Rhinolophus ferrumequinum: one gene and its partner. The protein of the gene in region 2 purifies or fractionates together with the protein of the main gene of each other region. This does not show direct contact. Links are inferred from orthologs where the notes say so. Each region holds a gene or a part of one and is shown on either strand. Other genes may lie near its edges.

What was found. Proteins that work in one complex are often made in the same cells at the same time.
Region 1: the proteins of PSME1 (region 2) and PSMD6 purify together in Homo sapiens (affinity purification with western blotting; 3 studies listed by BioGRID and IntAct, with this or other methods). This does not show direct contact. The link is inferred for Rhinolophus ferrumequinum from reciprocal best matches to the Homo sapiens genes PSME1 and PSMD6.

What each region holds. Positions count from the first base shown.
Region 1 is NC_046300.1:58,045,393-58,052,952, reverse strand, and holds the start of PSMD6 (26S proteasome non-ATPase regulatory subunit 6), read left to right. Parts: upstream 1-4,547; 5' UTR 4,548-4,641; coding exon 4,642-4,786; intron 4,787-5,553; coding exon 5,554-5,759; intron 5,760-7,560.
Region 2 is NC_046289.1:74,300,047-74,307,858, forward strand, and holds PSME1 (proteasome activator complex subunit 1), read left to right. Parts: upstream 1-4,797; 5' UTR 4,798-5,039; coding exon 5,040-5,078; intron 5,079-5,656; coding exon 5,657-5,689; intron 5,690-5,834; coding exon 5,835-5,897; intron 5,898-6,016; coding exon 6,017-6,127; intron 6,128-6,215; coding exon 6,216-6,261; intron 6,262-6,379; coding exon 6,380-6,477; intron 6,478-6,731; coding exon 6,732-6,800; intron 6,801-6,884; coding exon 6,885-6,952; intron 6,953-7,059; coding exon 7,060-7,114; intron 7,115-7,189; coding exon 7,190-7,276; intron 7,277-7,450; coding exon 7,451-7,531; 3' UTR 7,532-7,677; downstream 7,678-7,812. Other genes in the region: FITM1 (fat storage-inducing transmembrane protein 1), read left to right, coding at 1,417-1,682, 2,068-2,680; EMC9 (ER membrane protein complex subunit 9), read right to left, coding at 7,728-7,812. UniProt on the Homo sapiens protein: Implicated in immunoproteasome assembly and required for efficient antigen processing. The PA28 activator complex enhances the generation of class I binding peptides by altering the cleavage pattern of the proteasome.

The sequences.
Region 1 (7,560 bases), on a different chromosome or scaffold from region 2:
AGTTTTCTAACATTGGGTAATACTTTAAAAAAAATTTTTATTGGGGAATATTGGGGAACAGTGTGTTTTTCCAGGACCCATCAGCTCCAAGTCACGTCATTATTTTCAATCTAGTTGTGGAGGGTGCAGCTCACTGGCCCATGTGGGAACTGAACCGGTGACCTTGGTGTTACAAGCACCGTGCTCTAAACAACTGAGCCAACCTGCCGCCCTTGGGCAATATTTATGTTGGATTTTTTTTTAAAGCTGGGGTTCAACCTGAAATAATAAATCTAATTACAGAAATGAATATTTTCACATAATTACCCGAGAAATTTATATTGACATAAAAATTTGAAAACTGAGCTGAGAGAAAGAATATGAGGCTCTTTGAATACTGGGCAGTAAAAGCATCCCAAGTATAAAAGTAAAAATTGCTTCAGCATTCACTGTGATCAGTTCATGATGTTCATTCAAGGGTACTCATTGCCTCAGAATTCACCCTCATGTCTGTGGGGTTAATGTAATTCCTCAAGTGAAAAACCTCCACCAGTGACGCAGGTTTCTAGCGATGTCAACAGTGACTAATACAGTTAAGGAAACACACCCATATGTGTCCATGAAGAAGTACTATTATTTTAGGAGGCAACAAATTTTGTAAATTAAAAACCTTCAGAATTATAAATTCTAAGCAGAGACTTCAAACAAAACAAAGCAACTGTAGAATCCTGCTGTCCAGAGACCAACACTTCTAACGTGTGTCTTGTAGTTTTGGCCCCTATATTTCTAAACAATTGCCGTGTGCTGCTTTATCCTCTTTTCCAGTTTTAGATATTAGCTTTTAACTCTGTATTATGGAAAATAAAGTTCACACAGATACACATTTTCTCAGATCCTCTGAGAATAAGTTCAGTCCCGGCTGAAAAAAAAAAGGGGGGGGGGACAAGAACCGAGGGGAGCTGTGGAGATAGAGCACAGCAATCTGGATCTGGTTCCAGACTGCTTGTCCCCACGATTCCTGGCTGACTTCCCATTCCACTCTCATTCGTCCCCTGCCCGCTCTCCATCCTCCAGTCTATTTATTGTAACTCTGCCTCCATCCATGCCTAGCATTTGAACTGTTATAACTACTTAAATGTTATTCACAATTGAGTCTTGAAGTATTTTAGAATTAAGTTTCTATAACTATCTCACCCCTGAACTCACCGGCAAGAGTATCAATTTATTCTCAGTATTTTCTAACTCATCTTGTATTTGATATGTTTCTTCTTCTTGGACACTTTCTTCTGGAGCCTCCCCTCCCCCATTTATTCAAGAAATATTTGTGGGTGCCTACTAGGTGCCAAGCTGTCTTCTAGGTACTGGGTGCACTCAATGCACATGACAGCGTAAATATACCAGAGGAAAACATGAGTGAATACTTTTCAAACCATGGTGTTGGAAAGGTCTTACTAAGACTTGGCAATAAGAACAGAGACCATAAAGGAAAAGACTGATGTATTTAACCATATAAACATTGTAAACTTTTATGTTGAAAAAGTTTCATTAAAATATAGAAAAACAACTAGGAAAATTTGCAACACTTGAAAAGAATTTAGTATCCTCAAGATATGAAGAGTGCTTACAAATCAGTAAGGAAAATTCCATGGAAGAATTGAGAAAGCAAAACAGATATTTCATAGAAGAGGAACTATACATAGCTAGTTCAAATGTGAAAAGAAACCCAACCTCATAATAAGAAAAGAAATGTAAAGGAAAAGCAACATTGTTATTGTTGCTAAAGCTTAAAATGGTTGCTAAAAGTATATTGGCAAAGAGGGAGATGGGCTCTCTGTTTAATATTGGTCAGAATGTAAATTGTTATATCATTTTTGAAATAATAATTTACATAATCCTTATATGAGGTCTGACAATTAAGTTTGCGGACTTGTTGCAACGATGCTGCTACCCTTTTTATTATATCAGAGGGATTATTCATTATGAATTTGTATCAACTGGACAAACAGTTAACCAAGTTTACTATTTGGAAGTGCTGAAAAGGCTGCATGAAAAAGTTAGATGATCTGAACTTTTGGCCAACAATTCCATGGCTCTTGCGTCACCACAATGTACCATCTCACAAGGGATTGTGGGGGAATTTTTAGCCAGTAAACAAATAACTGTATTGGAACATCCTCCCTACTCACCTGATCTGGCCCCCAATGACTTTTTTCTTTGCCCGAATATAAAGGAAATATTGAAAGGAAGACATTTGGATGACATTCAGGACATCAAGGGTAATATGACAACAGCTCTGATGGCCATTCCAGAAAAAGAGTTCCAAAATTGCTTTGAAGGCTGGACTAGGTGCTGGCCTGGGTGCATAGCTTCCCAAGGGGAGTACTTTGAAGGTGACCATAGTGATATTCAGCACTGAGGTATGGAGCAGTTTTACTAGGATGAATTCGCAAACTTAATTGTCTGACCTTGTATGTCAAAAAATAAAACATTCAGACCCTCTTATTTAGCAGTTACACTTCTAGGGATTTGGATTAAGAATTATGAAGTATGAAAATGTATGCACACAAATGATCAGCATTGTGGTATTTATAAGGGTGAAATCAATATCAATTAAAGATTGATGGCAAAAAAGTTGGTACATAAAAATAATGGAATTCTATCTGGTTGGTCATTAGAAGTGATGATATCAATCCACTTCTATTGGCATGAAAAGATATCTACAGTAAATGAGTGATACAGTGAACAGAAAAGTTTGTAAGGTACAAGTACAATATGACCCTATTAATATATCTAACTGGGTTTCAGTGAAGTTAAGTGTCTCTAGAATGTAAGTTCCACCAGGACAAGGGCTTTGTGTTCTTCACTAATGTATCCTTCGTGCCTAGAACAGCGCCTGGTACTTTGCAACCAGGCAATAATGTTTGTCGAATGAACGAATGAAAGATATTTAGAAAGTTCTTCACCAATAATTTACCATGGTGGAGTGCTAGTAATTTTTTCTGTGTCCTGTATATTTTCTGTACCATTTGAGTTGCCTTCAGAATGCTTACTTTATTTTTACCAAAACAGGTAAGATATTAAAAATGTGTGGTGATGTCTACTGCTGGTGAGAATTTGGCAGTGACTGTGTAAACTGGTTCAACTCTTTTGGAAAACCATTTGACATTAGCTATGCAAAAATCACAAAACGTTTTTTCCTTTTGTCTTGTCTGTTAATCCTTTGTGGGAATTCATGCTAAGGAAAACAAATGCAAATTATGAAATGACCTATGAATCTAGTGGTGTTCATCTCAGTTTTTATGTCAGGAAAATAACAACCCTGGATAATGTAAAGGCATCTCTAATGGAGGGAAGAGTAAAAGTAAATTATGGTAATACATTAGATGGAATTTCATATAACCATTACCAATTCTGAAGCCTCTGTAGTAACATGAATAATAAGAGGCTGAAAATGCAGGCATGCAATAATTTAAATTATGTTTAAATAACATGATGATGTTGTATTAAGACTAGAATTCTGGGTGCTGTTTTCTTAGAATAGCGAAAGAACACTGGTTTTAGAGCTACCGATTTTTCTTTTCGAGCATTGCTACGTAACTGTTACATATCTTGCTTGATCATGTTCCCTAACCTCTTTGTGCCTCAGTTTTCTTATCTACAAAATGGGCTAATAGTACTACCTCCTAGTAATAACAGGATTAAAATGAGATGATTGTTGTGCAGGGAGGGTCTCAGCTCCCACTCCCCGCACAAGAACACAGGATATGGTGATGCCAAAAAGGAACAACAACAGAGCCATAGACAGAGGAGTCATACCACGATATTCTTGATGGCTGCCAATAGAGACACAAGAGCAAACATCCTCCAGTACCCCAAGGAGGGGTCTTCCTGCACCCCAGTCTCGCTGGCCGGGAGGGGGGGCACACAGGAAGTAGGATCTACAGGATCCCGCAATCTGCCTTCAGCTTGCTAACCACACTTGCTAGACTCAATCCCCTCCGCTTCTCTGTCAACTAACCCAACCCCCTAGCCAAGCCATGGCAGTTATATTAGTGGCTAATGGCTAACGGGTAACAGCGGATGGCCATCCAGCCACAGCGGATGGCCATCTGATCACAGCTGATGGCCATTTACTACCGGAGCCAGCACCTTTCCACATAAGGCCGAGAGTCTAGAAACTGCTCTCTGGGACTCTGTCCGGACAATGACACACGTAAAAGGCCAGGCAAAGAATTAAGCCCTTGATAAACTGTGATAGTTGTTTTTATTGTTGTTATTATATTCTCAAAATCTTCAAAAGATTGTCAGCTCCTATCAATTACAAACGGAGTGAAAAGTAAAACAGCTAAAAAGAGAGGAAGGAAGAAGTTCCCGAAGTCGAACTCCGGAATTGGGCTTCAGACACTCGGAGACTCGCGGAGCCCCGCGCGAGGGAAGCTCGGGCGCCTGTCCCGGGCGCAGGCGCTCCGCCCGCTGAGCGTTCCCGGACCTGACCGGGAGGGGACGCTGCAGCTGGAGGGGGAGCCCGGACCGGAAGCCGGGCGGGAGGCTGCGGGGCGCGCTCGCCGCCTCCTCCGCTTCCGCCGCCGCCGCCGCCGCGGGTCCGCGCTGAGTCGCTGTCTGCTCTGAGCCGCCGCCGCCGCCGCCGCCGCCGCCGCCGAGATGCCCCTGGAGAACCTGGAGGAGGAGGGTCTGCCCAAGAACCCCGACCTGCGCATCGCGCAGCTGCGCTTCCTGCTCAGCCTGCCCGAGCACCGTGGGGACGCGGCCGTGCGCGACGAGCTGATGGCGGCCGTCCGCGACAACAGTGAGTCCGCGCGAGCGCCGAGTCAGCGGCCTAGGCCGGGGCTGGCCCCGCGCCCCGGAGCCTGCGGGGGTTTGCCCCGGCGGGGCTCCGGACCCCGGGGCGCCCCCCGCATGGGGTCCGCGAGGCCAGGCCTGGCCTCTCACACCCTCAGGACCTTCCTCTTGTTGGGGGAGCCTTCGGGGACCGCGCGGCCTTGCTCTCAAAGGGGTCTGCAGCGGTGTGGGCGCTTCCCCTCGGAGAGCAGCCTGGGGGGAGCCCTGAGGTCGTTAGCCCCGCGCTTGGCACAGAGCAGAGACTTCCTGTCGTTAGCGAGCGGAGCGGGGCTGGAGGTAGTCCTGCAGGCGAGGCGCTGCCCGTGCGTCGGAAACCCGGGCCGCTGCCTCGGCTCCTGGCAGGCAGTGGCTCTGCGCTGTATGTACTTGATCATACGTGTCTGAGTGGGTGAATGAACAAGCTTACCCTTTACGTTGCTTGAAGACGCTTGGAACACAAGCCATCAAGAGGCAAACCGAGCCCCACTAGAGGTTGGCAGTGCCACGATCGGCCCTGATGCAGACCCGCCGGCAGCAAACACTTAGGTTTTGCCAAGCCCTTTACCAGGCTCTATCCCATTCCTTCCTGGTAGTGAGTAGGAGGCTGGTGGATGACCTACGTGTGTGTGTGTGTGTGTGTGTGTGTGTGTGTGTGTGTAAGAAGGGGGTGGACACTGACTCTAGGGTACAAGGGGTCCCTTGCTACTAAGTCACGTCCCTATTTTTGGCTCTCAGACATGGCTCCTTATTATGAAGCCTTGTGCAAATCCCTGGACTGGCAGATGGACATGGACCTGCTTAATAAAATGAAGAAGGCAAATGAAGAAGAGTTGAAACGTTTGGATGAGATGCTGGAAGATGCAGAAAAGAATCTTGGAGAGAGCGAAATCCGCGATGCCATGATGACGAAGGCAGAGTACCTGTGCCGGATAGGTGACAAGGTGAGTAGAGGTGGTTTCCCCGCTCCGGACAGTCTAGAAGGGGCACTATTCTAAGTTGGTAATGTCTTTAAAATCAGCTTCCTTTAAAAAAAAATTTAAATGTAATGTGCTTACCTGAACTAGTGAATCAGTGCAAAAAATGAATAAAGAGAAAAAGTCTTCTTGCTACACCCTATCACAGCAACCAGGTGTGTATTCTTCCCCATCTCTCTTTCTACCAATAAAAACTGAAGTGCACAAGCAGAGATTTTTGTTTACTGCTTTTACAAAATTGGGATCATTCTCAGTAGTTCACTTTTCTCACTTATCTTGGTTGGGAAGCATCGTTTCTGGTGTCTTTTTAAAAGTATTCTTTACACAAGTAATAATCTTATAAGAAACTAAAACATTATATAGTTAATATTAAAGTTCTGTTTGATCTTTATTCCCTACCTCCTCAAAGGTAACCTTTTGAGTTCTTTTATTGTACTTTTATGGGCATCTAAATGTACCTGTAGAAATTAGGTAGTATCGTGTTTAAATTTTTTTTTTAAATAAATGGGCCATAGTGTATTCATATCCCGTTTGTGAAGCTAATAGCCTTGTAGGGCTGTGCCATAGTTTATTTAGCTATTCAGCTATTGATGGACATGTATGTTGTTTTCAGCTGTTTTTGCTATTACAAGCTGCTGCTGTAAAAACATGCTTGTATATGCTTTCTTGAGTATATATGCTAATATTTCTCTAGGGTATATTCTGTACATTGAAACTGCTGGGACAAGGAATGATTTTTATCTTAATATGTGTGTTCAGTTCTTCCACATAGCAGCCAACCTAATTAATACTCCACTATCAGTGCAGAGAGGGATACCCAACAGTATTGGGTCTTTAAAGTTTTTAAATTTAGTAGTTGTGTAATAGTGGTTAAGATGATGGGCTTTGAATATCCTTAATTTTAAACACTGTACCCTAAAGTATTTAGATGACAGATGACATAGTGTTAATATAAAAAGAATAAAATGTTCTGGGCTCTTGGATCAGATTGCCTAGTTTCTGTTTCCAGTTTCAGTAATTATGATTTACTGGCCCCTCAGTTTCCTCATCTGTAAAATAGGGATAATGATAGTTCCTGCATAATGAGAATTAAAAACAAAGGCAAAGAGCTTAGACTAGTACGTGGCACAAAGTGCTTAAATGTTAAATGATAGGCGCTATTATTATTTAATTTAAATTTAAAACAAGTTTTCTTCTTCTGATTCTAAATCTAAGATTCGGTCATTGTAAAACTTCGGAAAATACAGAACATTTTAAAAATACCTAATACTTTGTGTGGTTTTCTAGGCTGTGTGTAGGTTTGATTTGATTTGATTTGATTTTAAAGAGGATACGTTATTACATATGAATGAGAGACTTAACGCTTTTGATTCAGACCTTGAGGAATTTCAACAAGAACATGCTTGAATCAATATCGGGGCGTTGTAAATGAGTGATGTTCCAGTATTCTGTTTATCAAAAAGCATTATTCTAAAAAGAACAGCTTCTATTTCTCCCGTGTCCTCTTATTTACAACTACTAAATAATACACTTAATGGATTTTTATTCACTGTGTTACCACTGATTATAGTTATTATTCTTTTATGGTGCCCAGTTTGTTACAGATTTATTCATGGGAGCTCTTTCGAGAAGCCGCCTTTGTCCTTTTGACGTTGGTCTTCCTTATTTTCTCATGCAGCAAGATGTCACAGGCTCCCCTGATATTTTCACTCTCCAAACCTGGAATCATCTACTTTTCCCAGGATCCCTGGTTTCTTTTAGTGGGGGT
Region 2 (7,812 bases):
TGCAACTTTTAAAATTACTATGAAAAATTTTTTGTTGACTTAAAAATGTATGAGGGTTCTATAGGTATTCGTGTATAGGGTCCATGAGCAGAAATTAGGCTGAAGGATGGGCTTCAGGATCTGGAAGGAACCTGATTGATTAATCCATCTTGATCAGTTTGCAGAGGAGGGCACTGAGGACCAAGGAGAGTGAGTTGATTTTCCCAAAGTCACATAGTTGGGCCCAGAACTCAGGTATCCTTAAGTTCATTCCTTTCACTACTTCGCAGGCCTCCACTGTGCTCTGAAATCCCACCACCAATTTTGAGGAATGAGGAAGACAAAAAGGGACTGCAAAACAGTTACTGAATAATAGGGACATCTCTTGGGTAGGTTGCACTCCATACTGTGGCTCCAGCCCCTGTAGTCAGGCCGAGAAGCTAAGTCTTAGGTATGGCTGAGCCTAGGGTAATTGGTTAGAAGACACAGCCTATGTTTTGATGGCTGAGGATTTTTCGTCTAGATCTCCACCCTGCTTTCGCCATCACCTAGGAGTAAACCTACTTTTGGGGACTCTGAGAGTCCAACCTAAACCATCACCATCTCATATAATATGCCCTTTTCAGGACACTTGAATTTCATCTGTTGGCCATCATAATAAACATACCAAAGAAGGGCCCCCTTTAGATCTGATGTCTTGTGCATTGCACAACCATGGTTTACACAGCAGCCCTAGACCCAAGCTAACCCCTCAGAGCTCAGACCAGACAAGCTGGGGCTGCGCCAAGCCCCTGAGGTCCCAGTGCAGAAAAGTGGGTAACCCTGCTGACGTGCTTCCCAGGCCTGAGTTGGAAACAATGCAGTGCACGGCCATCTTGCTGCAGGCTCAGTGGTGAGCTCCTGTGCTCAGACCTGAGGAGAGAAGCTGGGCCACGATGATGATGAGGCAGACACAGATTTTTTTAAATGACCTCCAAGGTTTGGTTAGTTTTATGTTCCTGACCCCTGATCTCCCTGTGGAGCAAACACACAGTAAAATTGGGGTGGGGTATGGTTAACTGGCTGACCAGACAGGCAGACCCAAGCAGGCTATGGACAAAGACAACCCGGAACAGCAGGTCTGGCCCTGAAACATGAACTAGACCATGGTTACAGCTTGGGACACAGACCTAGAGAGCCAAGGGGACACAGGGCTAACAGGAAAGGACACGGACCGCAATAAGGACACACACCCAAGGCTGGGACCCTGCTGACGTGGCACCCCTCCACCCTGGCCCCTTACTGCCCCCCGCCCCTCTCCCCCGCCTACCAGCTGCCAACAGGGCTCTGCTCTGTGTCTGCCACACCTGTCACTGCCTGTCCTTGTGCAGGGGGGGCCCCATCAGCCCCTCCTCAGCTGCCCAGCAGAGCAAGCAGTTAGTGGGGAGGGGAGGGAACATGGAGCGGGGGCCGGTGGTGGGGGCAGGGCTGGGGGCCGGGGCCCGAATCCGGGCACTGCTGGGCTGCCTGGTCAAGGTGCTGCTCTGGGTGGCCTCTGCCTTGCTGTACTTTGGGAGTGAACAGGCTGCTCGCCTCCTGGGCAGCCCCTGCTTACGGCGCCTCTACCATGCGTGGTTGGCAGCAGTGGTCATCTTTGGGCCCCTTCTGCAGTTCCATGTCAACCCTCGGACTATCTTCGCCAGCCACGGCAACTTCTTCAACATGTGAGTCCACGCGAGGCCGTGGGCGCCGGCTCCCTCCATTCTGGGATCCTAGCTCCCTCCAGGCTTCTGTCCTCCTGCCAGTCCAGGCACTAAAAATAGGCTAGAAGGTTGAGGAGAAGGTCAGAGGAGGGGGAGGGGACAGCGTTGTGGGGGTACAGGGGAAGTCAGGAGCAGGGCTGACGAGGAAATATGGACCATAGAAGGCTGAGTGAGTCTTTCAGGAGATGGCAAAGTTTAAGTGCACGGGGGTGGTGTGGTAGAAGGCACAGGACCCAGAAAGCCAGTGATGAAATATAGAACTGGCAACAGAGCAGTGATGGGAACACAGACCAGGGTGGAAAGATAGGGCTACGAGGTCTCACTAGCCTCCCTTCTCTGCCCACAGAAAGTTTGTGAACTCGGCATGGGGCTGGACATGCACCTTCCTGGGGGGCTTCGTGTTGCTGGTGGTGTTCCTCGCTACACGGCGCGTGGCAGTGACTGCCCGGCACCTTAGCCGGCTAGTGGTGGGGGCAGCTGTGTGGCGGGGGGCCGGCCGGGCCTTTCTGCTCATCGAGGACCTGACCGGCTCCTGCTTGGAGCCTCTGCCCCAGGGCCTGCTGCTTCACGAGCTGCCCGACCGACGCAGCTGCCTGGCGGCCGGCCACCAGTGGCGGGGCTACACGGTCTCCTCCCATACCTTCCTGCTCACCTTCTGCTGCCTGCTCATGGCTGAGGAAGCAGCAGTATTCGCCAAGTACCTGGCCCATGGGCTACCTGCTGGTGCACCCCTGCGCCTCGTCTTCCTGCTCAACGTGCTGCTGCTGGGCCTCTGGAACTTCTTGCTGCTCTGTACCGTCATCTACTTCCACCAGTATACTCACAAAGTGGTGGGCGCTGCAGTGGGCACCTTTGCCTGGTACCTCACCTACGGCAGCTGGTATCATCAGCCCTGGTCTCCAGGGAGCCCCGGCCATGGGCTCTTCCCTCGCCCCCACTCCAGCCGCAAGCACAACTGAAAGAAATAAAGGCACATTAGGCCTGGCTCTGGCCCCTCTCATCATTTGGTGGGGGACCTGGAAAGGGTGGAAAGGGTGAAAAGGCTGATGGTCGCTGGGGTTCCTCAACCATTCCTTGAATGTCCTTCCTTATGCTTGATGGCCATGTCTCCTGCTGTCCTTTCAGTCTTCTAGTCCTTGCAGACTTCGAGCTATCTGAGGCTCTGATGTCAAGGAGTGGCACTGCTAGGGCCAGGTAACAACGCACTTAGGTATGGGCAGCATTCCTGCTGTGCAGCACTCTGTCTACAGCCTGGTTGATTTACTCCCCCGCCCCCCTGCTCCACTGAATCCCCTTCCGCCTTCCTCTAGGAGCTGCCTATCTAGGCACCCTACTCAGGGACCCTTCCCACCCTTTCTTCCCCATAGGGCTCTATGTGTACTCATTTATTTAACAGATGTTTATTGAGCCAAACATAGCTTCAGACCTTGTGAATAAGGGAGACAGGGTTTTTGCTGCTTGGGGGCTTATGGTTTACTGGGGGAGGCAGATGATAAATTCACAAATAATAATAGCAAAACTGCATTGTGCTTACTCCGTGCCAGGCAACATTCTAATTGTCTTAAAGTTCTTTATATAAATTTAACACATTTAACACTCACAACAACGCTATGAAGTAGGTTTGGTAGTGTTCCCACTGTACGGTTGCAAAAAGGCACAGAGGTTAGGTAACTTGTTCACAGCTAGTAAATTATCAGTCAGGATTAAAACCCCGGGGCACTATGGGTCTGTTGTCTGTGCTCTAAGCACAGACAGCCCTCCTGTGGTCATTTTTTGTATGGCCTGATTGCTAAGAATGGTTCTTACATTTTTTTAATGGTTGAAAAAAAAATTAAAGAACATTTCATGATATCTGAAAATTACATGAAATTCAAATTTATGCCCATAAAGTTTTATTGGAACCTAGCCATGCTAATTTATTTAGTTATAACTGTTTACCTGCTACAATGGCAGACTTGAGTAGTGTAGTTGCTACGGACACTATATATAGCCCACAAAGCCTAAAATATTTACTATCTGGCCTTTTACAGAAAAAGTTTGCCAACCCTGGTGTAAACCACACTATCCTCAAAAATTAAACTAATATCAGAGCCAAGTGCTATGAAGTTACTAAACCAGGCTGCTTTGTAATACAGGGAGGTACTTTATAAAGAATGATGGACAGTTCTCTCTGACGAAGTGATATTTGCACGGAAAAAGGAATGACAGACAACGTGAGGCAGGGGCAGGGTGTGCCAGGCAAAAGTATTAGCCAGGGCAAAAGCCCTAAAACGGGCAGGAATGAAAGTGATACCGACAACAAATGAAAAGCCAGGTATTTACAAGTGTAAAGTAAACGGGGCAAACGCAGTAGAGAGTGAAGTTGAATGGCAACAGGTGTCAGGTAGTCCAGGCAGGCCTTAGGGGCCAGGAAAGCCCTGAGGATTTCATCCCAAGGTCAACGGGAAACTGAGAAAGAGTTATAAACAAGGAGAGGGATCCTGCTGCTGTGTGGAAAGCGGGCTACAGAGCAATGGAGTCCACACAAGGGTTAGGAGAGAGCTGACTGGGTTGGAGTGGTGCCGGCGTCTGAATGTCACTGCACGGCCAGAGGATGCCCGTGGAGCCAGGAGCCCAGGCTGGCAGTGCTAGCGAAGGGAGACCAGGTCTTGATCCACCGCTGAGGAAAGATGGAAGAGGGTCAGATAAGGCTTATCACTGTCCCAGGCCGAGCAGGTGAAGAAGAGAGCCAGCAGTCACAAGGCAGAGAGAGATGGGAGGCGGGGAGTCCAAAGGCGGGCACTGGGCTGGGTGGCAGGAGATGTCGGGCCTTGTGAAGAGAGGAAGCGAGAAGTGGAAGCAGTAACGCCTGGAGCGGAAAGAGAGCAAAGAGGATGGAGGAGGTGGCGGCGTGTCGAGAGCAGGGCGGGAGGGAAGAGGCGGGGTGGGCGGAGGCAGTAGGCGGGGAGTCGAGAGACCGACTTCGGCGAGGAGGTGGGAAGGGGGAGGCGGGGCGTCGGGAGCAGGGCGGGGAGGGGGAGAGGGAGGCGGAGGCGGGGCGTCGAGAGGCGGGCGAGGTGGGATGGAAAGGTGGGATGGGCGGAGCGGGCGGAGGAGGTCGGTGGAAACGCTGCTCTCTAGCAGTAGAGGGAGCCCCGCCTGAGCGGCCTTCCTCCGCCCCCCCAGCCCTCTCTTCTCTCCGGACTGTCCCCGCCTCCCCCAGTGCCTCCACTCCCCTCTACCCAGGAAGGCCGCGCGCATTCCGCGCGCTGCTTTCGCTTTCCCTTCACAGTGCCCACTCCTCGCTCCTCGTGCGGCGTTAGGCTCCCCGCCCCGGCCATGGCCACGCTCAGGGTCCAGCCTGAAGCCCAAGCCAAGGTGAGCGCTGCGGGTTCGAGGAAGGGCCCATTAGGGAGGCGTGGCGCCGAAAGGCTGAGGGCGTCAGGCTGCCGCCCCCTAGCCCCCAGACGTGAGTCGGGGTCAGTATCGAGTCCAAGTGAGCCTCTGTGCCCGGAGCACCTGAGCCTCAGGGAGACCGGCGGGGTCCGCCTGCCGGGATTGGAGAGGCGGCTGAGTGAAGCGGGGTGAGGTGAAGCGGAGAACCAGCGTGGAGGGGAAGTCCGCTGGCCCGGGGCCGGGCCCACACACAGTCTGGGTGCGGAACCTGCCTTGTCACCTCGTTGCTTTTCTCACGGGGAGGACCCCGGGGCCCACTCCGTCCCAGCCCGAGTCACAGAAGGCTCTTACACCTCTCCTTATAACAGCCCAGGAGACCCGAGGGATCTGTTGTCACTTGAACCACTTCACCGCCAGGAATGTTCTCATCCCCCAAATCCCGCCCCAAGGGGATCCACTCCACCTTTGCCCAGGCCAGGCCCTACACAATCCTAAGGGACCGGTCCTCATATGAACTGGCCATAAAGCCAGGTGTCTGAAGGGCTGCCTGTACCCCACAGGTGGATGTGTTCCGTGAAGACCTGTGTACCAAGGTAAGAACCGCCCCCTCAGTACCCCGTTCCTACCCATCTCCCACTGCTTAGCCTTTCATTGGTGGGCAGCTTCAGCCCTGCTTCACTACCCGAGAAGGGCGTTGGATTCTGACCTCCATCCTCCCCTGCCTCACCTCACTCCCAGACAGAGAGCCTGCTCGGGAGCTACTTCCCCAAGAAGATTTCTGAGTTGGATGCATTTTTAAAGGTACTGGGGCTGGGCAGGGAGCTAGAGAGTAGGAGCCAAGGGGAGAGTCTGAGGGGCCATGTGAGTGAGGAGGTGAGAGAGATGCCCTTGCCTCCAGCCCTCCTCCTACCCTGCACCAGGAGCCAGCTCTCAACGAAGCCAATCTGAGCAATCTGAAAGCCCCTTTGGACATCCCAGTGCCTGATCCAGTCAAGGAGAAAGAAAAGGAGGAGCGGAAGAAACAGCAGGAGGCAAGCTGGGAAGAGCTGGGAGGAGGGAGCCAACCATGGGGAATATCAGCCTTGGGCCTGACTCCCGAGAGCCCCTCTTTCCCTGCAGAAGGAAGACAAGGATGAAAAGAAGAAAGGGGAAGATGAAGACAAAGGTACTACTATGGTGGCAAAGGATGAGCCTCACCTCCCAGGAGCTCCTCCTGAAGGATTCTTCTTCCCCACCCCTCCCGCAGTCCCAGCCATGTGCCTGACCCATTGTCCGCTCTCTAGGTCCTCCCTGTGGCCCAGTGAACTGCAACGAAAAGATTGTGAGCCTCCTGCAGCGCCTAAAGCCTGAGATCAAGGATGTCATTGAGCAGCTTAACCTGGTGAGCCCTACCACTGCCACCGCCAGGCTTTAGGTCAAACCCTTTGTCTTCCTTGGTCCCTGCCAGTTAGGGCATGGCACTTGCCAGGTCTTAGCAGGAGAGGGCACAGCAAATGAAGCCAGAAGTCCAGGCCCTGGGACTCAAGATGGACCTGGCATACCTACACCCACTGTGGGCAGGGAAACAAGGAAGGACAGGAACCTGGGAATTGGGTTGAGGGCTGATGTGGCTTTGATGCCTTTCCCTCCTCCCAGGTCACCACCTGGTTGCAGCTGCAGATACCTCGAATTGAGGATGGAAACAATTTTGGAGTAGCTGTTCAGGTGAGAGCGCTGCCCACTCCTCCACCCTCCTTATGTCTCTAGTCCATGCTGTTTTCCACTTTACCTCTTGCATTCTTTCCTCAGGAGAAGGTGTTTGAGCTGATGACCGCCCTTCACACCAAGCTGGAAGGCTTCCACACTCAAATCTCCAAGTGAGTGTCTGCCCAACTGTACCTGCATGCACACTCAGCCTTTGGCTTGGACAGAGGCCTGGGCTCTCTCCTCCTTCTCCTGTTCCACACCTTTCTACTTCCCACAGGTATTTCTCTGAGCGGGGTGATGCCGTGACCAAAGCCGCCAAGCAGCCCCATGTGGTAGGTGAGGCCGAGGTCAGGGTATATGGGGGGAAGGATATATTTGAAGTGAGGCCTGACCCAGGTCTCCTGCAGGGTGATTATCGGCAGCTGGTGCACGAGCTGGATGAAGCAGAGTACCGGGACATCCGGCTGATGGTCATGGAGATCCGCAATGCTTATGTGAGGAGAAAAGGGTGGGGCAAGGGTGGGTAGAGGCAGCTTTCTCAGGCCACCCACTCCCTGACCCTGCAGGCTGGGAGTGATGGATGACCAAGTTCAGTCTCACCACAAGGTTAGAAATGGGGCATAGAGCTGGGGCCTACAACTGATCCCCACTCCTCCCTGGCCATGTAGGCTGTGTTATATGACATCATCCTGAAGAACTTCGAGAAGCTCAAGAAGCCCAGGGGAGAAACAAAGGGAATGATCTATTGAGCGCCTCCTCTCATACTGTGGTGGATCCAGCAGAGACCGTCCTATCTTTGACAGGGGACTTCAGACTTTGCCCCACCTTCCACCTGTTGAGGTTTCTCCCTCCCCTTGCCTCCCAGGCACAATAAATATAGTCGTAACAATACCCATCAGCTCAAGTCTCTTTATTGGATCTTGACACATGTACCCCGGCCCTGGCTCAGACATTTCCATTGGAGGGACCAACCCACTGGGTGATTCGAGTGTTAAGCTGCTGGTTGGTCCAGTCCTGCCGGATGTCATCG